Caenorhabditis elegans: one gene and its partners. The protein of the gene in region 1 purifies or fractionates together with the protein of each later gene. This does not show direct contact. Each region holds a gene or a part of one and is shown on either strand. Other genes may lie near its edges. The genes, in order: C29E4.14, mif-4, Y17G9B.8 and rac-2.

The links.
Region 2: the proteins of C29E4.14 (region 1) and mif-4 fractionate together in Caenorhabditis elegans (co-fractionation; one large-scale study listed by BioGRID). This does not show direct contact.
Region 3: the proteins of C29E4.14 (region 1) and Y17G9B.8 fractionate together in Caenorhabditis elegans (co-fractionation; one large-scale study listed by BioGRID). This does not show direct contact.
Region 4: the proteins of C29E4.14 (region 1) and rac-2 fractionate together in Caenorhabditis elegans (co-fractionation; one large-scale study listed by BioGRID). This does not show direct contact.

What each region holds. Positions count from the first base shown.
Region 1 is NC_003281.10:7,916,562-7,922,757, reverse strand, and holds C29E4.14 (EF-hand domain-containing protein), read right to left. Parts: upstream 2,636-6,196; 5' UTR 2,619-2,635; coding exon 2,580-2,618; intron 2,524-2,579; coding exon 2,462-2,523; intron 2,416-2,461; coding exon 2,206-2,415; intron 1,822-2,205; coding exon 1,758-1,821; 3' UTR 1,668-1,757; downstream 1-1,667. Other genes in the region: C29E4.17 (Spiroplasma plectrovirus-related protein), read right to left, coding at 1-11, 216-220; Putative protein tag-250, read left to right, coding at 841-929, 980-1,168, 1,478-1,661, 2,755-2,882, 2,932-3,132, 3,181-3,371, 3,427-3,491, 3,989-4,212 and 1 more; gly-3 (Polypeptide N-acetylgalactosaminyltransferase 3), read left to right, coding at 5,000-5,145, 5,194-5,348, 5,401-5,786, 5,970-6,196.
Region 2 is NC_003282.8:6,334,730-6,337,636, forward strand, and holds mif-4 (Macrophage migration inhibitory factor), read right to left. Parts: upstream 1,266-2,907; 5' UTR 1,259-1,265; coding exon 1,199-1,258; intron 1,155-1,198; coding exon 1,026-1,154; intron 697-1,025; coding exon 520-696; 3' UTR 501-519; downstream 1-500. Other genes in the region: blos-2 (Biogenesis of lysosome-related organelles complex 1 subunit 2), read left to right, coding at 50-154, 201-238.
Region 3 is NC_003282.8:4,755,432-4,762,369, forward strand, and holds Y17G9B.8 (SGF29 C-terminal domain-containing protein), read right to left. Parts: upstream 3,410-6,938; 5' UTR 3,200-3,409; intron 3,151-3,199; 5' UTR 2,687-3,150; coding exon 2,613-2,686; intron 2,567-2,612; coding exon 2,118-2,566; intron 2,071-2,117; coding exon 1,883-2,070; 3' UTR 1,746-1,882; downstream 1-1,745. Other genes in the region: fbxb-77 (F-box associated domain-containing protein), read right to left, coding at 1-344, 614-705; Y17G9B.11 (PID domain-containing protein), read left to right, coding at 1,174-1,380, 1,431-1,511; memi-1 (MEiosis-to-MItosis transition associated), read right to left, coding at 3,809-3,991, 4,043-4,234, 4,284-4,469, 4,517-4,996; cyp-31A3 (CYtochrome P450 family), read left to right, coding at 5,629-5,721, 5,768-6,168, 6,212-6,308, 6,357-6,451, 6,500-6,938.
Region 4 is NC_003282.8:16,305,055-16,311,905, forward strand, and holds rac-2 (Ras-related protein rac-2), read left to right. Parts: upstream 1-3,170; coding exon 3,171-3,275; intron 3,276-3,671; coding exon 3,672-3,763; intron 3,764-4,202; coding exon 4,203-4,388; intron 4,389-4,570; coding exon 4,571-4,775; downstream 4,776-6,851. UniProt on the Caenorhabditis elegans protein: During gonad morphogenesis, plays a role in distal tip cell (DTC)-mediated guidance of gonad elongation.

The DNA of each region.
Region 1 (6,196 bases):
CATTGGGTAAACTGCAAAAAAAACGGAAAATGAGGGGTTTACTTAAAATTACTCAAAATAATCATGAAATACGAAAAAATGATGAAAATCGACAAGAAATGAAAAATCTGTCTGATAGGTTAAAAAGTGTGTATAATTTTTCATTCTTTTTTGATTTTTTAAATGATATTTCTTAATTTAAGACTATTTTAGATTCGTCGAAACAAAATTCTTACCTCATCAATAGCTTTTTGAAACACAAATTGTTAAAAAAAAAGGAAAACGTCCCTTGACAAACCACTGTTGTAAAAAATTACTACAATATGAAGTTCACGTTTTTCAAAAAAAATATACTAGAAATTAATTCTGATTATTTCAAAAGTGATGAAGTAAATAATTGCTAAATCAAAGGAACCTGTTCAAACAGTATTACAAACGATTAAATTAAAAATTCCCGCCAATTCTTCTATTTATTTACTCGGTCATAAGTATTCCCAACCTAATATATACTCACATTTCAACGACTTAATTAACATCACCTCTTTACTGTCCAATCCCCTTTATTCTTTGCTTAGCCTATCCCTTCATTGCATGAAATTGATCCCATCATCCAAAGCCTCCTGCTGCTGATGCTTCATCTAATCCCTACTTTCAGCTTGCCCAATTCGCATTAACACCACGCCCCCTCTGTCTTCTCTAACCTTAATTCGAATATGGAGGAATTGAATTCCGATTTCAGTGAGTTCTAATCGTTGTGTAATTATATACTCACTCGTAATTTGTTTTTTGTTCTGCACCAAATGTTTTCTAAAAATATTTTGTATTCTTTTTGAAACATTTAAACATTCAATACTTATTCAGTCATTTCCACGGATCGAGAACCAACTGCGGATGAGTTGAAAAAAATTAAACAAAGAAAAGAGAATGAGCCAACGGAGCATGCAAAAACGGTATGTTTTTTAAATTCAATTTTTTAAGATCAATTTTATTTAATATTCAGCTTTCTCAACAATCTGTCGCTCTAAAAGAAGGATCAACTGTGTCAATCGTCTATGCAGATTCGCCAAAGAGATTCTTTATTCGAGCTCTCGCGGATGACGATCAGTATGAAAAAATTGGAACTACGCTCGCTGAGATTTATGCTCAAGAAACTCCGCCATCGGCACTCGATAGTCGAGTTGCAATTTATGTAAGTTCATGTGCTCAACTGGCTTCCGACGAAAAAAGAAAAAAATTGAAGTTGTTGAAACAATTAAAAAACGTAAATATTTTTTGATAAACATACAAAGATGAATAAAAGAATTCAAAAACTAATATTTCGGATAACGAATTAAAAACTATAAAAAACCCGAAACTTGTAAAATATACTTTGTAGATCTACAAAAAACGTTTGGAGTTCCAAAGTGGTTTTTTGTTGCCTTTTTGGTTCGAAAAATCCAAAAAATGCCCAGCCCTGGTACTTTTACATAAATGAGACAACTGTATTCATTAATTACAGGAAATTGTGGCTGGTGGAGCTTATGCCCTTCAAGATTCGAATGGAACATGGTTTCGTGTAATTGCCAAGCAGCCACCACAATCCGGACAAGTCATGTGCCATTTTGTGGATGTTGGCGTCTGTGAGAAATTCCCTGTGGCGGCGATAAGACTCTTACCACCTGCTGTGCATCCAGTAATGTCAAGTGAGTTTTTTTAAATTTTTATTAAAATCTAAAAATAATCACAAAAATAGGTAGAAAGTTAATTTATAGAGTAAAATTAAAAAGCAATATTCGAGTCTATGAGAACTTCTTTGAATATTCGCTGAAACTGATCATCCCATCTCCATTTTTATCGAGTTCGCTGAAAATGTATATTTTTGAAATATCATTATCGATGATGAGAGCCCTTTTGTAATCGACATGGAAACGAGATGTATGGTCAATTGACAACGCTCCGCCCCCAATCCACGTATTTCGTTAGGTATTTGACGGCAAAACGTTTTCAATTAATTTCGCCGATTTTTAAGCAGTTATTTGTTTTTATTATTGTTTTTTTATAACTTCAAAATCAATAAAGCTAACGGAAAACATAACAAAACAGGCGTATAATGCTTGAAAATTATACCTAACGAGACCTATGGGTCGTGGGCGGAGCACTTTTATTTGGCAGTGTAGCGCGCTTCCACTTCAATTTCTATCATTTCAATTTCTAATAAAGACGCCTTTTTGTGCGTCTTAATAATACCTGAGAACTAGATCAGCTTGTACTTCAATCATCTCTACATCCATTTTAGTTTTCTCATCCGAGTGTTCCGTTATCATTTTGAAGAGTTCAACACCATCCAAATGATTATCCTGATTGGTGTCACCAACTTTAAAATAATAAAACTTTCGATCTTTCGATGATGTGTGCTTTTCGATTTCAATCTTGTTCCCGTAATGATCTTTTAGATGTCTAAAACAGTTAGGTTAATTCAAAAAAGGAAGTATCTCAAACTCACTCAATACTCAAATCATCATCCGAAGCGAAACTGTGTACTTTCCTATCGAACCCGTTAACGGTCTAGAAATGTCGGATTATAAAAAAATTATAATTGAAAAAAATATTTAAAAACTCACCAAAACCACTAGAGCTAACAGAAAAAGAGCGCTGAACATCTTCAAAAAGTGATACTAATTTTGATTTTTGTTTCTTTTTTGCTAACGTGTATTAACCAAGAAAAAAAATATAAAAAAGTATGAGAAATCAATTTATAAATTTCACGTTTAATTTAAAATTTCAATGAATTTTCAGTCGGATCAATGGCTCGAGAAGTTCGTATGGATGTCAGTGAAGAAGAATCATTGAGGTTGAATAATAAATTTGTTGATTTAACATTCGAGACAAAAGATGATGGAATTCAGGTTCCGATAAATCTAACAGTGAGTAATATTTATTTACAAGTATAATATCTCACGAATATTTTTTCAGCTTTCAAAGTTTGACTCCTCAGACTCCGAATCTTTACCAGTTGTAGATCTTCAAAGTTCTGATGGCTTATCAATTACCGAATTTCTTAAAAAACCATCTGGAGTTGTTCGATTGAGTACTCCAACAAAAACAACTTCACCTATTACTCCGGCTTCTGCTTCAACATCCAGTTTGACATGTCTTTTTGACAAACCTGCGACGGTAAATATCTTCTATTGATGTTTAGAAATTTTAGAATAACATTTTCAGATCCAACCAATGACCGTTGCTCAAATGCCGATGTCAGCGTTCCCAGCAAATGCAATTTTCGCTGCAGGACCCACGGACATCTCATTACGGCAACTTTCATTAGACCCGATGCCCGATTATATGTATGCAAAGTTGAAAGACGAATGTGCTCTGCCTGATTCTCAACTGGAAAGTTCTCCTGATTTTGGAGGGTGAGACTTTTTTTTTTGATTTGAAAAAATTTAAGCTAAATATTTGAAAATTTAGATTCTACGCGGCTTTTATCGATGATCGTTGGGAACGTGTTCAGTGTATTCGTGCGAGTAAAATTGGTAGGTATATTTATTTATTATTTTATTTACTGTACCAGGAAATTTTTGAAAAAAAAATTTTCGAAAATTACTGTACCAGTTCTCGACACAACAAATTTTCATTAAATACAAGAGGCTGTGCGCTTTTAAAAAGTACTGTAAATCAAAAGATCTCGTTACTTTGGAATTTTTATAGTTTTTCGTAAAAATGTTTGAAATTACAGTACTCTTTAAGACGCACACATCTTTTCATTCAACATAAATTTGTCGCGTCGAGACCGAATACCGTAACTTTGAAAAAAATTGCAAAAATAGTTTTGTAATATTGAACTGTGATTTTGGAAAAATTTAAATATCCTGTTCAAAATTGCACTTTTGAAAAAGTAAATAAAACAATTGTGAGTTTCTCAGTATATCTGAATTTTTCGCACATTTTTCCCAAAAAAAAAAACAAAACATCTACAATCTTGCTGAGTATTATACCTTTTTTCCTTGAAATGTCCATCTTTTTTTTTCAGACAAACAAGCCTATTGTGTATATCTTCTGGATGTGGGCGCTTTCCAATACGTGCGAAAAGAAGCAATGCGACGTCTCAACTCCACGTCACCATTCAAAAAAATGCTGATGTTCAAGTGTAAAATCGGAGGAATCAAACCAGTTGCTGGAGGAGAAGTTTGGAGCCGCGAGTCACATGAAGCTGTTCGAGAATTCTTTGAAGCAGCATGTGGTGAACCTGTTGTGGTAAGTCATGAAAAGAATACTTTCAAATGCAAATTAATTATTTCAGGTTGAACCAACTCAGCCTGGATGGTCTCAATGGAAACAATTAAATGCTCCAGCTGTTCCAACCTGTGAAGCTCGTTTATCTTGTTGTGGTAGAGATATTGGTGACTGGCTCATCGCGTGTGGTTTGGCTCTTCCAATAAATGCACCAATTCCAAGTCCCAATTCACAGTCACTTCTTACTTTTGTTCCAACACCAATTAATATTGTTGGCAGAAATATTTGAATATTTTCTGATCCGTCTTCATTACAAAGCTTCTAATCAATTTTGTGCTTTATTTTTTTCTAATTTTTGAATATTGTATATTTTCATAATTCCTCAGTTTTGCCGATTAGTAGTCTTTCTCTGAAAATTCAAAAATATTTGCTCAGTTTTCCACTTTTCTCTTCAGTTTTTATTCTTTCTAGTTTCATAATTCTGTGATAATTTCAGTTTTATTGTCTTTTAATTATTTTTGTGCTTCTCGTATATTTTGCTTGTTGGAATAATAATTGTTAAAAAATTTTAAAAAATTTGTTCACGGTTTATTAGTTTTGATATAAAACGTGTTCAAATAGACACGTATTAATATTTTTATTTGAATTTTTAAAACCATTTTTTTGTATTCTCTATCACAAAAGTTATCATGTTTTCAATTTTCCAGTACTATTCAAGAAAATTTAGCCTTGTTAAATAATTTTGATCGGAATTTATCTTCTTTTTTCCCCTGAATTTTTAATCATTCTCTAATTTCAGAGTAATTGAATGCTGAGTGTGGGCGGTGGTCGTTCGGCAGTATGTCGTGCTGTCATTGCCACTTCCATCGTCTGGTTGCTCATTGATGTTGTTATTCTTTTTTACTATCTCGATCCATCCACATCACAACAACAGCCATTTCCGGAGGATAACAGGTATTCTATTAAAATTATTTACATCAACTAATTGTTATCATTTTTAAGAATCTTGAATCGTGCTCGACGGATAGAACCACTACCACCAGCAGCTCAACATGATTCAGATCCAGATGCTCATCCTATTCAACCTGAAAAACAAGAGAAACAAGTTTACCCCGTTGACAAAGAAACTGCAAATCAATTGAGGAAACTTATGGAAAGTGAGCTATTGCAAAATATAAAAATTTATATTTAAACAATTGTGTATTTCAGCTCAAGCATTTGGCCCAGGGTACCATGGACAAGGAGGTACTGGAGTCACAGTTCCAGAAGACAAAAAAACTATAAAAGAGAAGAGATTCTTGGAGAATCAATTCAATGTTGTCGCTTCTGAAATGATTTCAGTTAATAGAACTCTACCGGATTACCGATCAGATGCATGCCGCACGTCTGGAAATAATTTGAAAACTGCTGGAATGCCAAAAACTTCCATTATTATTGTTTTCCATAATGAAGCATGGACAACACTATTGAGAACACTCCATTCGGTTATCAATCGATCGCCACGTCATTTATTGGAAGAAATTATTTTGGTGGACGATAAGTCTGATCGAGATTACTTGGTCAAACCGTTGGATTCCTATATCAAAATGTTCCCAGTAAGTTATATAAGTTGAATTGTAAATTGCGACTTCCGAAATACAGTAACCCTAGTTCTTCGTTAAAGGATGGAGACAAAAAATTTCCATCTCAGGGATAGCCAGAACACAGAAAATTTGAATAATAAAACGAAAATTTTTCGATTTTTCGATATTAGACTTAAACAGACAACCTTTTTTCAGATTCCAATCCACTTGGTTCATCTCGAGAATCGATCCGGTCTAATCCGTGCTCGCTTAACCGGATCTGAAATGGCGAAGGGAAAGATCCTTCTCTTCCTGGATGCACATGTGGAGGTTACCGATGGATGGCTTGAACCACTTGTATCAAGAGTCGCTGAAGACAGAAAACGAGTTGTTGCTCCTATAATTGATGTAATTTCTGATGATACCTTCGAATATGTGACTGC
Region 2 (2,907 bases), on another chromosome or scaffold:
TATGCCTTTATTATTTATTTCGGAAAATTTATGAAAGATTATTTTCCAGACGAGAATCTGCGTCCATATCTTTCCCAAATTGATGCTATGGATGAGAGCACCCGGAGATTGGAGGAAGCTACCGCTGTTCTTGAAAATTATGTTACCCAACTCGGTAGGTTAAGCCTTTCAAGAAAAAATTCAAAGATTTTTAATTTCAGAATCCAAGCTCACCAACATCCAACAGCAAAGCCAATAAGCCAGCTCAATCTCAAACTATTTCCAGCTTTTCTGTAACTAAATTAATGTGTGATTTCTTATTCACATTCCGTTCAATAATTTATGTAACTCTAGTCATTATATTCAGCATAACTTATTTTTACATTTTCTTGTCAAAGTTTCTATTTCTCATTAATGCTAATTTTGCTCCCTCCCTTTTGCTATAAAATAACTTATGAATTATGCTTTGTCTTGTTTTTTTCGATGTTTTCAGATGTTTACTTCATTGTTAAATCCATGCGTTTCAACTTTTTTACAAATTTATTCATACAAAGAAGCAATTGTCTTCCCTTGAGTTGCAAAACTTTTTGCATCTTTAAAATCAAATGATATGAAAATATGGGCGGGATCAAGCTTCAACTGCTCATTGAGCACTGATGTCAATTTTTTTGCATATGAGTCATTTTCGATTCGAGAAGAAGGCCGGGTTGTTTGGAACTGAAAATTGTTATTCTTAATTTTCAACGAGTTGACATTTTCAAAAAAAAAAAACACGGTCTCTGGTCCCGGCACGTCCAAAACTTGTCAGCTACCGTACCCCGGTATTCTATCACTTTTTAGTTAAAAATATTTTTCTCATAAAATTAACTTATATTTTATGAATCTAGTTAGTTTTTCTATTTTTCACACATTTCTTCTCGATTAAAAAAATTTTAATTATAAAAAAGTTTTCAGATTTTGAAAAATACACAGGTTACTGTAGCTGAAAAATTTTACACGTGACAAGACCCAAGCCTAATATTTTTTCAAAATAAAAAAAAACGCACATTTACAATTGCAACTGGAATTTCTTTATTCTCAAATCCAATTCTCATTCTAACTGCCGGCTCAACAATAATCACGAATTTATCAGCTGGTAATTCCATTACAACTGATAAATTGTAGATCACATCTTGCTGAAAATATTAGAAATTAGAAATTTCGTTTTATGCAAACTTACTTCAAACTTTTCTGGAATATCAGCACTTCGGATGTTGGTTTGAATTCGAACAACTTGCATTTTAATTCTAAAATTTTGAAATTCGGCTTGAAAATATTTTAAAAAAAAGAGAAATTGTCGTTTCGCAACATAAAAACCAACGGGAAAAAATGCTCAGCCAGCTGAGAAAACATGTCGCTCGAAGAAAAGAGCGTGCACTCGACAATAAATACACAACTCCATTTGTCAATGTTATGTGCGCAGGATGGACAGAAATGGGATGACATGGAAACAATTAGTACGGGGAAATGGAAATAAGTTTGACCTTGAATTTTGGGTTGGGCACACGGTTTTTTTGGTGAAAATCGGAAGTAGGTTAGGGAGACACAGATCAGAATGTGTTGCAACAACTAGAAGCAAGAATCACAGTTTTGAATCAATATTATTTATATTATCGTAATTTCATTAGGGTCTCGCCACGATCTCAGTTATGTAGTTGATATTATTCAGATGCAGATTTTCGCGATTTTTGCTATAATAATACGGTACCAGGTCTCGGTACGACAATTTTTCTTAGACACAACCATGTCAGCGCTTTGAACAGTACTGTAGTTTCAAACTATCTTTGTTAACGAGAAGTATTTCCTGAAATTCGTACACCATATTTTTATTGCTGCGCTCCATTTTTCATGACTCATAAAGCTGGAATAGGTTCAAAAACTTTTGTTTAGTTATTCTAGATTACTGTAGACTAAATCAGCTGGCTGCTCATCTCGAAATTTCCAACTCTTTTTTTCCACTCGGCTCAATTCCGTTCGCGATTCGTGACTCAACATTTCGAACTTTCTCTGTCTCATTAAAGTACCTGTCACGTGGGGACTCCCCTCTGTGACGTCACATATCACGTTGTCGTGTGATTTGTCTTCAACATTCTTCTCCTCCCAGACAAGACCACGTGCTTTTCGGTTTAGTGCAGTCTGTCCTTTCCATTTCAATTGTATATATGCATGATGACAGAGAGGTGCAAGAGACTCAGAAATAGAAAGACAATGCGAGAGACAACATAAGACGTGGATACGCAGACGGAGAAACAATGTGGGTAGTGCAAGCTGTGGACTACTGAGTGTTGAAACGAGTGGCGTGATCCTCCCGACCCTGTTCTCTGATGGCCTGAAATAGTGGGCTTTGTCAAGAGATTACAGAGAGACACGGAAAAGTGAGAAACTTTCTTCCGTTCTTTTGAGTTATCACGTAGTTTTCCAAACTGACAAGGTTTCTAAAACTGTTCACTCTTCACTTTTTTTCTGAGATTTGAATTTTTTCAATGAATTTTCCCGTGAATTCTTTGAAATTAACCGTATACAATTCCCACGTCTCATTTTTTAAATTTCTTTTTTATTTAATTATTGTTCAAAAGCGAAATTTTGTTGTTTTTTGCGCCAGAAATACGGCACACGGTCTCGACACGACAAGCATAGGAAATGTGAAAAGACGTGTGCCTTTAAAGATTACTGTAGCATCGATTTGTTGGAATTCATGCGTTTTATTGTTATATTTGAGTTGTTTTAAACATAAATAAAAGTGTTTTTTGTCTAAAAAACTATGAAATTCTATAAAAATTCCGCAACAACCGAGACCTTGTCGCATTTAACTAAAATTGTTCGTGGCGAGACCGGCTACCGTATATCTGGCGCAAAAATCGTAAAATTTCACTTCCGAGTAATAAATAA
Region 3 (6,938 bases), on another chromosome or scaffold:
TTCCTTTGAGTTCATTAGAACATTCAGGGTCAGCTGTACTAATATGTAAGCTATCAAGTTTTGTTTGATGAAATATTTCCATAAGATGATTCAAAAATTGTCTCACTCCAAAAAATGGGGTTTCCCATCTTTCCCCTCTGAAACCAACATGCACTCTTATGGGCTTCTGTACAGTATGGTGGCTGGGGGTTGAACATTCGAAAGTGTAGAATCGGAAATCTCTACAACCGGAAACGTCAATCAATATTTCATTTGAATTAATTGCGATGATAAAACGTTCGGTTTTTATACCAAGGTGTTTAGTTTGTTGCATTGCAGCTTTAGATGTGAATGATAATTCAACTCTGTAATGAATATTTCATATTGACAAGGAAATGCGATTAGTGAACCATATCCCTGGATCAAGGCTATTTGAGAACGGGATGTTTGAATTTTAATTTTACTAGTCGGAGGAAGTCGAGAGGTAGGCTCGAAAGACACCGGCTTGTTGAGTAATAAAAGTTTCAAAGTAACTATACATTTCATTAAAACTTCTCGAATCACTCAAGCAATTTTTCGAATTACGCTCTTCAGCAAACTACAGAAAAAATTTAATGATGATCTATGTACTCACAATGCTTCTATGCACATTCTGCGCAGCACGACATCAATCGATTTTTGAGGTAATTTGAGCAATGTGAAGGGAATAGGCACATAGTCATCCATGGTCACAAATAAAGAATGAGCAGATGGGAGGATTGAGTGGTAATGTTCAGTGACCTCTTATTTCTCTAACTCTCTACTTACTTGTTATTATACATCTGCTGCAGAGACAAAGATTTCCTTCGTCCGTAACCACTCCCATGTTCCCAGGACCCATTAACATATTCTAACGTCTTCTTATTCTGACAAAAAGAATCTTCTCAAACACTTCACTCTCACGGACGAACGGACAATCATCTTATGGAAATATTTCATCAAAAGAGAATTGATAAGTTATCATTTGATACTGCACAATTCGAAAGTACGATTTGTGATGAATTCGAAGGATTGGAGTTTGAGGATTTGCAGCTAGGCACAGTGTTTGGCTTTAACAGTTTGCTATATGAACATGTGTTGAAACAGTTTTCCGGTAAAACTGATTCAATTTGTACAAGCAGCAAAAACCCGTTCTCAATAGAAGCATCTAAACAAATGCAAATGGTTTTAACACGTAACATGGACATAGTTGTACTACACCAATCATTGAAATATGATCTTAATGATGTACTAAATAGTGACAAATGCTTCCGCATTCGTCGCTTATCTAAGAATCAAAGATGTCAATATATTTTTGAAACACTGGATTCACGGAGTCGACAGGAAACTGGAATCTGCGAATTTCGATTTTACTGCATTCAGGTGAGACGAAGATCTTCTCGAATCACTCTTTGAAGGTATAGAATATCTAGCAGATAGCTATCTCTAGTGCGCTTTCGATGCTGAGGAGACTGTGGATAGAGAATTTTTTGTTCTTTTGCCGTTGGGATTGACGGGATGTGACGAGTATCCTGTCAAAGGTGGTTATGATGTGAGAAGGAATGATGGGATGACGGCTATGTACTATTTATCATTGTAGATCGTGCAGATATATTAATCAAAATGTTTTTCTGGTTTTAAAATCACGTTAATTTTTAATAATCAAGACCACGCATTGGATCACTTTCTAATTTTTTCTGCACTCTCTGAATTATTTCTCTTGTATAATTTTCGAATAATGTTGCCGCCAATAATAACACGTTTTATTTTTGATAAGAACAACTTTTATGGACAAATAAAAAACATTGTGAGATTTATGAGAAGGAATTCCGGGATTTTTAGGAGTTACATACAATAAATACTGTCAATTAATTGGATTATGGCCTCATTTCTTTTTGTGGCCATTTCCCTTTTTTGGAGCAGTTGATGCAGTGAGCCCTGCAACTTCTCGGAAGGCAACCACGTATTTCTGAGCAACCGGCATTGGAGGGCAGAATCCTGATGCATAGCTGTCGTCTTCGAACGCTACTTGATATGGTTCTCGAAAATCTGCTGGCGGGGAGTGAACTATTCCTGGAAAATAATTATTTTATTTTTGAAACTTTTGTGAAAATTGGTACCTTTGTAGAAGCAAGTGGTTTGTGGATACAACGCCAACACAATCGCATTTTTCTCGAAAAGTGCATGCTTGTCTGATGCAGGATTCGCTTTCCATTTTGGGAGGGGTAACAAATGGCTTCTCGCGAAAACTGTCAACTTCTTCTTGTCATCATCAACGTCTCGACACTCATATCGCGAGTTAGAGTGACATGTGACAATATCAGCAAGAATCCAGTTTCCGTCTTTACTGAATGCCGCCACTGAATCTCCGTCGCCTAGTTTCGAGCCATCCTGTGGTGCAATAGCTCCAACATATTCTCCAGGAAATTGTGTGTCATGGCTGGTCCATAATGGAAGAAGGTCGCCGCGAACCTTGATCAGTTCCATTAAATCTCTCCGACTGATGTCTCCGGCCATTTGGGAGCGATAATCCATTTCAGCAACACGTTTTACTTCGTCCAAAAGATTTCTGTAATATTTATTTTAATTTTGAGAGATTAAAGATGAAAACGAACCTAATGAATGATTGTTGTGATTCCACAGATCGATGAGTGCTGGTGACAAAATGTGAAATTCCATCGAAAACCATGGAAACTTCTCAGTAAACCCGTTCAGAATATACCCAGATTTCAACCGAATTTGTGCACAGCATGCAGAAATCGCCGAATTTGTACAGATTGCAAATTTGAACAGATTTTCGAGGCAATTGCCCCGAAAATTTTGTTGAAACTATTCAAAACTTTACTTCAAATTTTAAAAATTTATCTAAAACTTGGTCTTCATTGATTTCTTTTGTTAAGATTTTAATTGATATTTGCAAGAAAACTTTAAAATCGTGGCGAGACCCAGCCGTACAACCACGTGCCCCTTTAAACAGACTACTGTATTTATATTGAATTTTTAATGATTGGATTTCGCAAAAATTAGTTATAAAAATTGTTTAAAAAAACCCACTTTACCCTTTCCATAGGGGTTCGGCTCATTATCTCGGAATTCTTGAAGTTTTTGCAGATTCTCGTTGATAGCGTCTTGCTTCGATTTCACTGTTGGCAGCTGGAAAATTAATTTCAAAACTAGGAATAAATAAATAAATAAAACTCACCTTTTTGATAACCTCTTCGGCGGTTTTCTTCTTCATTTCCTCGGTGATTTGCACATCGTTCTTCTTCCGAGGCATTTTGAAATTATGCTATTTTCCTGAACAAGGAAATGAAGAGGTGCAATAGAGCAGATATATATTTAAACGGGAAGAATCGAGAGAGACCTGATTACGTGATGAGACGGGGAGAGTGCAGACATTACAAGTCGTATGCTGTGAATGAGGCAATGAAAAGGCCAGGTTGTTGCGGTGGGAAAATAACGTATATGGAGTAATTTACCAGTGAAAAGCCGGGAATAGTTGAAATTCATATTCTAATCAATCAATCAGAGCAGTAATGCATTGTAAAATTATACCTCAAACAAATTCATCTTTGAAAAAAAATCAAAATAAATGCGGGCAATATACATGTCGAATATAAACAAAATAGTCGTGGGTTGTCACAATTTGGGCATTGGAGAATCTATATACATAAAACAACTAAAACAAAAAAGGAAAATAAAATAGGGGAAGTTAGTTGGAATATTCAACAGGAACCACTCGGTTATTTAAATACATATACAATAATACAGACTTATGCACATTACTACTAATTATAGGACATATATGGAGTTACTCGTCCTCTTCATCCAGTTCGAATGTTTCGAGAAACGAGATCAGGTCGTCGACTGGCGCAATTCCGTTTTCCAGCGAGATCATATCCTTTTCGACCTCGAATTCGTGGATTTCGACTGGCTCTTCGACAATCAGCACTCGCCGGTTCATGCACTTCACCGTTTGCTCCAATTCGATGTACTGAAAATGTTATAAATTGGAAATCGATAGAATTATTGCTATACAACTCACTCTATTTCTTCGGAAAGGATCCCTGGTGCTCGAGTTGTTCTTGTACACGATCCTCGTTTCCACGTGGCGCTTTCCTCGAATTGAACACGTGATTGATGCAGTCGAAGTCATCAGCCGGCCTTGTGAATCGAGTCCTGGCTCGAGATTTCCGTATTCCCGGCAGTGTGTGGTTCTCAGGAGACGAGTGATAGTCTGAAACATGAAAAGTTATTTGTGTGTAATATAAAACCGATTTACTTACTCTCTTCGTCTGTGATCGGATCAGGGTTGCAACCACAAAGCTATCTGTCATTTGGAACCTTTCGTTTTCCTTCTCTAGTTGTTCGAGCAATGCAAATAACGTTTGGAACGACATTTCATTGGTTGTCTGGATAGCAAATCGAGCCACATTTTGTCCCGTTTCCTTCGGTTCGGTCAGGAGAGAAGTCTGAAATGAGATTTATGCTTTATCAAAAATATGGCCAAGAAACTAACCAGAATCAAACTAGAGATATCCTCGACCGACAGCTTCCGGCACTGAGCGGCAAAATAATGTGGTCGTTGGTTGGGATGAAGAAACACGTGCTCGACAAGCGCTTTCTCCGATTCTCTGGTCGTGTGGAACCATCTTTGCGAGAAATAGTCGTAGCGCTTAAGACGAAGATTTTCAATCGGCACAGTCTGAATGTGCCGGAGCACTTTGACAGCTTCATCGCGGATGATTGTCTTGCTCGGTTTCTTGTCGACGAGCTTTGGAGTCTCATCGATACGATGAACGGAACAGTAGTTCTCATCTTCGACGAGCTCCACATCTTCTCCGTGCCCTTCGATAATTACATCATGATTGATGTTGGGTTGTGGTGGGAGGGAAGAGCAACCGGCTCGAGCGGTTTCCAAGCGATCTTCTTCGGCGTAGTTGGCGACGTATCTGGTCGCCGTCAAATCGCGAAGGACGGTGCGAGATGGAGCTGACATTCTGAAAAACGTTGATTTAAAATTTTATAAAAAATTTGAAGCAAAAATGAAAGAGAAAACTAAAAAAAAAGTAAATGTACTGAAGTGATTGGCAGATTAATAATAATTTATCGATAAAACCATTTTTTAAAAAACTTCATCAGTTTTTGTGAGTGTCAGCAAAGAAGAAGAAGATTCACGATCAAAAATTCGTTGAGCCTATATGAAATAGTTGCGCTGGTTTTTCGACGGGGGGATCAAATACGTCAAATAGGTCAAATAGACGAAGCATTCATAAAAAGTACAATATTCATTGAAAAATAGTTTTGGATTTGTTTTTTTGTTTTCTTCATTTTTTTGTTGAAAAAATAATGGTAATTAAAAGTTTTTAATAATTATTTAAATCAAGATTGAAATATCAGAAAACGACAAAAATTCGTTCGAGAACTTTCTCAAGACTACCGTACTCTTTAAAGACGCATGACGATTTTCACATGGGTCTCACCACGACTTGTCTGAAATTTGAATGTTCGTTCAAAAACTTTTTTTTTTGCGATTTTCAAAACCAAAGCTTAACAAACAATTTTCCTCAAGTTTTCAACGCTTTTTGCTCGTTTTTTTCGCTCAAATAAATTATTTCAGAAGGTTTTGCAATGGGGGTTATCATCCCCGCTGTACTTCTCGCTTCGGCGACGATAATCGCTTGGCTTCTCTACAAACACTTGAGAATGCGTCAAGCTTTGAAGGTTTGATTTCAAAATTCATTTGAAGATAATTTAAATAAATTTTCAGCATCTCAATCAACCACGTTCATATCCAATCGTCGGTCACGGACTGGTCACCAAGCCAGATCCAGAGGGATTCATGAACCAAGTAATTGGAATGGGATATTTATATCCAGATCCACGTATGTGTCTTTTGTGGATTGGTCCGTTCCCTTGCCTGATGCTCTACTCCGCCGATCTCGTGGAACCAATTTTCTCGTCGACGAAACATCTGAACAAAGGTTTCGCATACGTTTTGCTTGAGCCATGGCTTGGAATCAGTATTTTGACAAGCCAGAAGGAACAATGGCGTCCAAAGCGAAAACTCTTGACACCCACCTTCCATTATGATATTCTGAAGGATTTTTTGCCGATTTTCAACGAGCAATCAAAGATTTTGGTTCAGAAAATGTGTTCCCTCGGAGCAGAGTGAGAATTTCAATTTATAACGCTTTCAAATATTCATTTTCAGGGAAGAAGTTGATGTTCTCTCCGTTATAACCTTGTGCACTCTTGATATCATTTGTGAAACTTCCATGGGCAAAGCTATCGGTGCTCAACTCGCGGAGGTTCGAGAAATTCTTCAATCGCAACATTTCTAAACGTTTTTTTTTCAGAATAACGAGTATGTATGGGCGGTGCACACAATCAACAAGCTGATCTCAAAGCGAACAAATAATCCGTTAATGTGGAATTCGTTTATTTACAATTTGTACGATAGTTTTATCATTAAAAAGGTCAATTCAATTTTATTTTTCAGAACAGAAGACGGACGAACGCATGAAAAATGTCTTCGTATTCTACATGATTTCACGAAGAAAGTAATTGTCGAGAGAAAAGAAGCGCTACAGGAGAATGATTATAAGATGGAAGGTCGTCTCGCATTTTTAGATCTTCTTCTCGAAATGGTGAAAAGTGGACAAATGGACGAAACAGATGTTCAGGCAGAAGTTGACACATTCATGTTTGAAGGCCACGATACAACATCTACAGGACTAATGTGGGCAATACATCTTCTGGGAAATCATCCTGAAGTTCAGAGAAAAGTTCAAGCGGAATTGGATGAAGTGATGGGCGATGATGAGGACGTGACTATTGAACATCTCTCCAGAATGAAATATCTCGAATGTGCACTAAAAGAAGCTCTCCGATTGTTCCCATCTGTTCCAATTATTACAAGAGAATTGAGTGATGATCAA
Region 4 (6,851 bases), on another chromosome or scaffold:
ATTTTGTTAATCAATCCAACAAAATGGGAATATGCACGTTCGCCATTCTTTGCATTTTACTATTTTACTGCTATTGCCACCTTCTATCCAGTTTATGCTACAATGCCACCAGGAATAGAGTACAAAAAAGATTTTATCATAGAGGTGGTTCCAGATAATAGCCTTGTTAATCATAGAAATTAAATTATCAATTTTCAGTCTCTTCCCTGCCTTAGGGCTGGCCAAATGTCAAAAAATACGACAACTTAAAAAATATTCACGTGACGGGGGTCACTCTTCGACACTTTTGTTTTTGTCAATATTTGACGTGTCGAAAACCGACACCGTCGAGTTTAGACACTCGAAACGTTGATTTATTGTTTTTATTTTTGATTTTATTTCCCAGTTCACGTTTTTTCAAATGAGCACAGAAAACAATGATGTGGCAGTTGAAAAATTTAATAAAATACTTTGATTAACAATTATAATTTTCATTCATTTTTATCCACGTATTCAGTGTCGAAAAGCGACACCACGAAGTGTCAAGAAATGACTTTCTAATTTTTTGAATCACGTGTGAGATTCATTTTTCGACTACAGAAATAAATGAAAATTTTTGTTTATTGACGACACTTGGCCAGCCCTACCCTGCCTATCAGATGAAGTTCGCGCTCTCCCTCTCTACCTTGCCGTGGAAAACAAATTGCAATATCTGATGGGGACTGTAGGAGAAGCAATACTACTTTATGTTACCTGCTTGGCACTCTTTTTTCAAATCTACCGTGCTCTTAAAAAATATGGCAAAGTCCGTTCGAAACAAACCTTGGAACTACAAAAAAAGCTGATGAAGGCGATGTTTTTGCAATTGGCAATTCCCTTTTCCATTATCTCCATTCCAATGGCCTATTTCTCATATACACCATTTTTCAATGCGGCATTGAATAATACTATGTATATTATAGTTGCAACACATGGTTTCATATCAACAATTGTTATGCTCATTGTACAGAAACCTTACCGAGAATTTATCCTGGGAGGTTTCGGGAAGTTTTTTAAACTGAGACAGTCTAGCGAAAATGTTTCGGGGATCAGTTTACACTCGATGAATACAATTGTAGCACCAAACCGAATGTTTTGAATAAATACTACTTTAAACATTGTTTTTGCATTGATTCAAAGCACCGTTTTCTAACGTCGTAACATTTAAGCAGGTGATATTCAGTTTGTAGTTATTACTAATACATTTATTTTGTTTTCAAAGGATAGCCACAATTAAATTTAAAAAAAGATAAATCTCTTTGAAAATGGTATTTTGGTTAAATACTGTTCACTTGAGGGCTTGAAATATAATATAAATCGTTGGAGAGACAGGAGAAACGTCAACAGGGAGAAAACCTGTGTTATTATGTAGAGCACATATATTACAATAGGAAGTGTTAAATAGGAGATGTTAAAGTAGTTAGGAGAATTTCTTTTAAAAAAAGTTATTGTTCTGGATCAAGAATTTTTTATCTCACATATTAAGACAACTAAAGCACAAGAAAAACAGGAACGCTAGGTATAGGAAATAGACGTTTCTGGACATTTGATAAAGATGATTAACAGCTGGAAACAGTATCATCTGAATGAGAAAGTTATGTTTAATGCAATGCACGTGTTGAATACCGCTTTATCGAGTTTTCGATTCATTTTGAACACGTACACATAAACTGGGAATAATGCCGAAAAAACAATCACCGAAGCAATAAAAAATATCTTGAAAGAATAATATATTGTTTCAGTAATTTTTACAATAGTGTCGTTCATTGGTACTTCTTTTAAAGCAATGTACTGCCAAATTTATATTATAGATTAGGAATTAGTGTGAAATAAAGTTACTGACAGGTGAATGTTATTTACGGCAAGAGCGAAAATTTTGTTTCTGTAACATTCTTGACCAATGACAAGTAAAGGTGGAGTACCGAAATGGGTACTTGTGTTTCGCACTACGTTGCTCACTCGCCAAGCTACACACGCCGAGCTGCGGAACTCGGAAGGTATCGGCCGCTTCCAAATAACTACCTTTCGCACTTCGTTGCGCACACACACCGGCGAAGGGCGACGGCGCCTCCGCCGCGCCGCTCTCACATGGAAGCCCTATTCCCTTTTTTTGAAATGTATCCATTTTAATAAAACGTGATGTCCATTACCCCTCTTTAGGCTTAGAAATGGTTATTTCCTGAGCCTAAAGATACAAAAACTCCACACGTTAAAAAAAAAATTTAAATGAGGAAAATTTAAAAATGGCACAATACTACAAATTTTCGTAATTAGATTGCTAAAAAAAACAGTTATGATCACTCAAAAATTTTGGAAAAATCGGCTATATTTTGCTGAAATCTCAAATTTTCACAACTAGGGCTGTTATTTAGGACGTCCTAGGTCGTCCTTGTCATTTTTTGATGGCTTATTTTGGCGTCCGTTTAACAGGAAAATTCAGCCTCAAACTCGAATCCAGATAATATTAACCCAAATAATCTATTTTCGTTATCAAAATTAATGTGTTAAGTCCGAGGACTTTGGTATAAAAATTGGGAGGACGATGAGGACGTCCTGTTTAACAGCCCTATTGACAACTTTTCAGTGTCGCAGCGGTTGGAACTCAATTGTCATCCTAATTTCTGCACTATGACGAAAAGTCAAAGGCGTGGTGTACAGACAACTCAGTGCGAAATGTGGTTTTAGCTGCGGCCGACGCTTTTCGGGTTCCGCTCGGGGGTCACCGCAAAGCGCGCGTGGCAGACGTTATCCCGCCTGCATGGAATCCCTACCTTCCTCATAGGATTCATCAGTAGTTCTCGATCGTTCTTCGGCCCGGCCCAATTCACCTATAAAACTAAATGAAACGCGCATTCAAGGTCATTCCTTATATTTTCCCTATACTCTTATTTCGTTATTTTTGTCTTCCTTATACTTACCACGTGTCTGTTACTCATCTATTCTGTAATTACTTAATTCCTCTGATCAACATGACAAGATGAAATAATCTCACTAGATCCAGTTTTGCTTCTTATTTTTTAAAGTTTTCCGAGGGAAAACGTTAGTTAGATTTCCCCCTCCTATCAGGTTTTCTCCAATGTTTTTCAATATCATGATTAAAATTTGTCCTGTTCTTGAACCAATTTTCAGTTTTTTTGCTCGCGGAGCTCCAGATGCAAGCAATCAAATGTGTCGTCGTTGGTGACGGAGCCGTCGGTAAGACGTGTCTCCTGCTATCGTACACTACAAACGCTTTTCCCGGAGAATATATTCTAACGGTGAGCCACTTTTTGTCGGGGCACTTGAGAAAAATTCGGGTTGGCACTTGAAAATTTTTTTTTCAAAAAATCTTATTTTTTAGCGCAAAAATTTGAAAAAAAATTTGAAAAAAAATCTATCTATACTTTTTTATTTAAAAAACCATGAAAAGTTGAATTCGTTTTTCAAAAAAAGGCAACTTCTGTCCGTAAACGTAAAAATGAAAACATTTTTTGAATGAACCCTCTGAAAGTGGAAAATTTTGACCGAAAACACGATTAAAGTGCTAATTTACATGATGAAAATATGAAAAGTTCTTACCTTTTTTTGCCTGATTTTAACCAGATAAAATTGGAGAACGGTCTGAAATTGGGCTTTTTCCTTATAATCTCGAATTAAGCCCAATATTTATGCAGGTATTCGACACCTACTCAACAAATGTGATGGTCGACGGAAGGCCAATAAATCTCAGCCTATGGGACACAGCTGGACAGGACGATTACGATCAGTACGTGCGGAAAAATCTGAAAAATGCGTCAAAAAATGAGCCAAATTTCATTTTCTCAAAATAGTTGATAGTAAATTTTTTCAAAGTTTTCGCCTATTTTAGAGCAATTTTCTATTTTAGAGCGAAACATTCTGAAACTTCTAAAATTTTTAACCGACCTATTGTCTGCTAAAAGTACAATTTTGTTATTGTGAAAATTGCTAAAAATATTTCCTCCACAACTTTTTTTTCTACTTTTTACAATTTTTCTAGCAATTTTCAAGCGGATTCTATTTTATAATGACAAAAAGAATGTCTATCAAAAAGTAACATTTCATATCAAATTTCGTAGGGAATGAAAAAAATCTTAAACTATATCTAATCTATCTAATGAATGTTTATTGTATTTACATGTGAATGTAAATTTACAGCCCACTTAAATTTCCCCATTTTTCTTCAGATTCCGCCACCTGTCATTTCCACAAACAGACGTATTCCTCGTATGCTTTGCACTGAATAATCCAGCAAGTTTTGAGAATGTTCGTGCAAAATGGTATCCAGAAGTATCACATCATTGCCCAAATACACCGATTATTTTGGTTGGAACTAAAGCTGATTTACGCGAGGATCGAGATACTATTGAACGGTAATTTTTTGGGATTCATTTTAGCATCGAAACAACTTTTTTATCATGTTTGAGAGAGATATGGCAAGAAATTGGGTGTGAAACTTTTGCATATCTCCCCATGTTTTTACCTTTTCGGCCAAAAAAGACAGCAACTCCAATGTAATACCCCCAAAAACTCTTGAAAAATAAAATTTTTGCAGGCTCCGTGAACGTCGGCTCCAACCAGTGAGCCACACCCAGGGTTACGTGATGGCAAAGGAAATCAAGGCGGTCAAGTACCTGGAATGCTCGGCGCTTACCCAAATTGGATTGAAACAAGTTTTCGATGAGGCAATTCGTACTGGGCTCACCCCGCCACAAACACCACAAACGAGAGCCAAAAAGAGCAATTGCACGGTGCTTTAAAATGCGAGGAAATTGGAGAACTCAAATTACAGAAACTACAACAATTTCAACTACCATACTAATTTTCAATACATAAAAGCTTCTGAAGCTTTTCGTCGTTGGAATTTCATATTTTCAGGTCGGAAAAAAAATTGAAGGAGAGGATAATCCCTTGCCTTGAGGACTGATCATCACAAAGTTATTACCACATGATTAGTACCCACCTATAACAGACCAAAAAACGAACCACGTGTGTGTTCAAAGCTAAAATCGGAGTTTCACCATGTTTTTGGCGAGAACTCGTAATTTGAGCTTTGATTGTGAATTCTTTTAGGGCTTCCATGTGGGCGCCGGTCAGGCGCCTCCACCGGCCTCATGTCGCCACTAACGCCGCAAGTATCCGTATGTATAGTGCGGCGCGAAACCTCGAACGTGTCGGCCGCTTCCATATAACTACCACTTCGTTGCGCACATACATCGACGAGGGGCGAAGGCGACGGCGGGCCGGCGTGAGGCCGGCAAAGGCGCCTCCGCCATGCGGCTCTCACATGGAAGCCATAGTTTAATTTGATGGTCATCCTAATTTCTGCACTATGACGAAAAGTCAAAGGCGTGGTGTACAGACAACTCAGTGCGAAATGTGGTTTTAGCTGCGGCCGACGCTTTTCGGGTTCCGCTCGGGGGTCACCGCAAAGCGCGCGTGGCAGACGTTATCCCGCCTGCATGGAATCCCTACCTCCCTCATAGGATTCATCAGTAGTTCTCGATCGTTCTTCGGCCCGGCCCAATTCACCTATAAAACTAAATGAAACGCGCATTCAAGGTCATTCCTTATATTTTCCTTATACTCCTGTTTCGTTATACTTTTCTTCCTTATACTTACCACGTGTCTGTTGTTTGTCCCCATTTACTCTTCTATTCTGTAATTGCTTCATCCCTTTAATAAACACGACAAGATGAAATATTCTTACTATATCCAGTTTTGCTTCTCATTTTTTAGTTTTTCGAGGGAACAAGTTATGGGGTTATTCAAGTAGTGTCGGAAAATTAAAAGGTGTAGGAATATTACGTCACTTTGTGTATTAAAATACATAAAAAACATGTACATAAAGTGACCTAATATTCCTACACTTTTTTAATTTTCCGACACTACTTGAATAACCCCATTAGGTTTCCCCCCGAAGGTTATCTCCTATATTTTTCAATATCATGATTAAAATTTTTCCTGTTCTTGAACCAATTTTCAGTTTTTTTGCTCGCGGAGCTCCAGATGCAAGCAATCAAATGTGTCGTCGTTGGTGACGGAGCCGTCGGTAAGACGTGTCTCCTGCTATCGTACACTACAAACGCTTTTCCCGGAGAATATATTCTAACGGTGAGCCACTTTTTGTTGGGCAATTTGAGAAAAATGGCGTGCAAAAATCAGAAAAAAATCGTCATTTTTATTTAAGAAAACATAAAAAGTTGAACTTGTTTCTCAAAAAAAGCAACATTTGTCCATAAACGTAGAAATGGGTAAAAATTTAGAATAAAAAGTGGGTAATTTTTACCGAAAATACTTTGCCTGATTTTGAGCAGAGAAAATTAAAAGCGGTCTGAAATTTGACTATAAATTCAAATAATGTTCAATATTTCTGCAGGTGTTCGACACCTACTCAACAAATGTGATGGTCGACGGACGGCCAATAAATCTCAGCCTATGGGACACAGCTGGACAGGAAGATTACGATCAGTACGAGCGGAAAAATCTGAAAAATTTCTCGAAAAATGAGCCAGATTTCATAAATATTTTCTCAAATTATTTGATAACATTTTTTCAAAGTTATCGCCTATTTCAGAGCAATTTTCAATAAAAATTGGAATTGGCCTAGGCTTAATTTGTACCTTTTTTGATAAAAACTTATGATTATTAAATTTTCTGGAAAACAGGTGAAAATGGTAAAATATTTCAAATTTTACTCGAATAGTTGAACACTAATTTTCAATTCATTCTAGTGAAATCTACTCATTTTTAGAGAAAGTACAATTTTTTTACAGTAAAAATTGCTCGGAACTTTTCCTCAACAACATTTTTTTCTAATTTTCACTATTTTTACT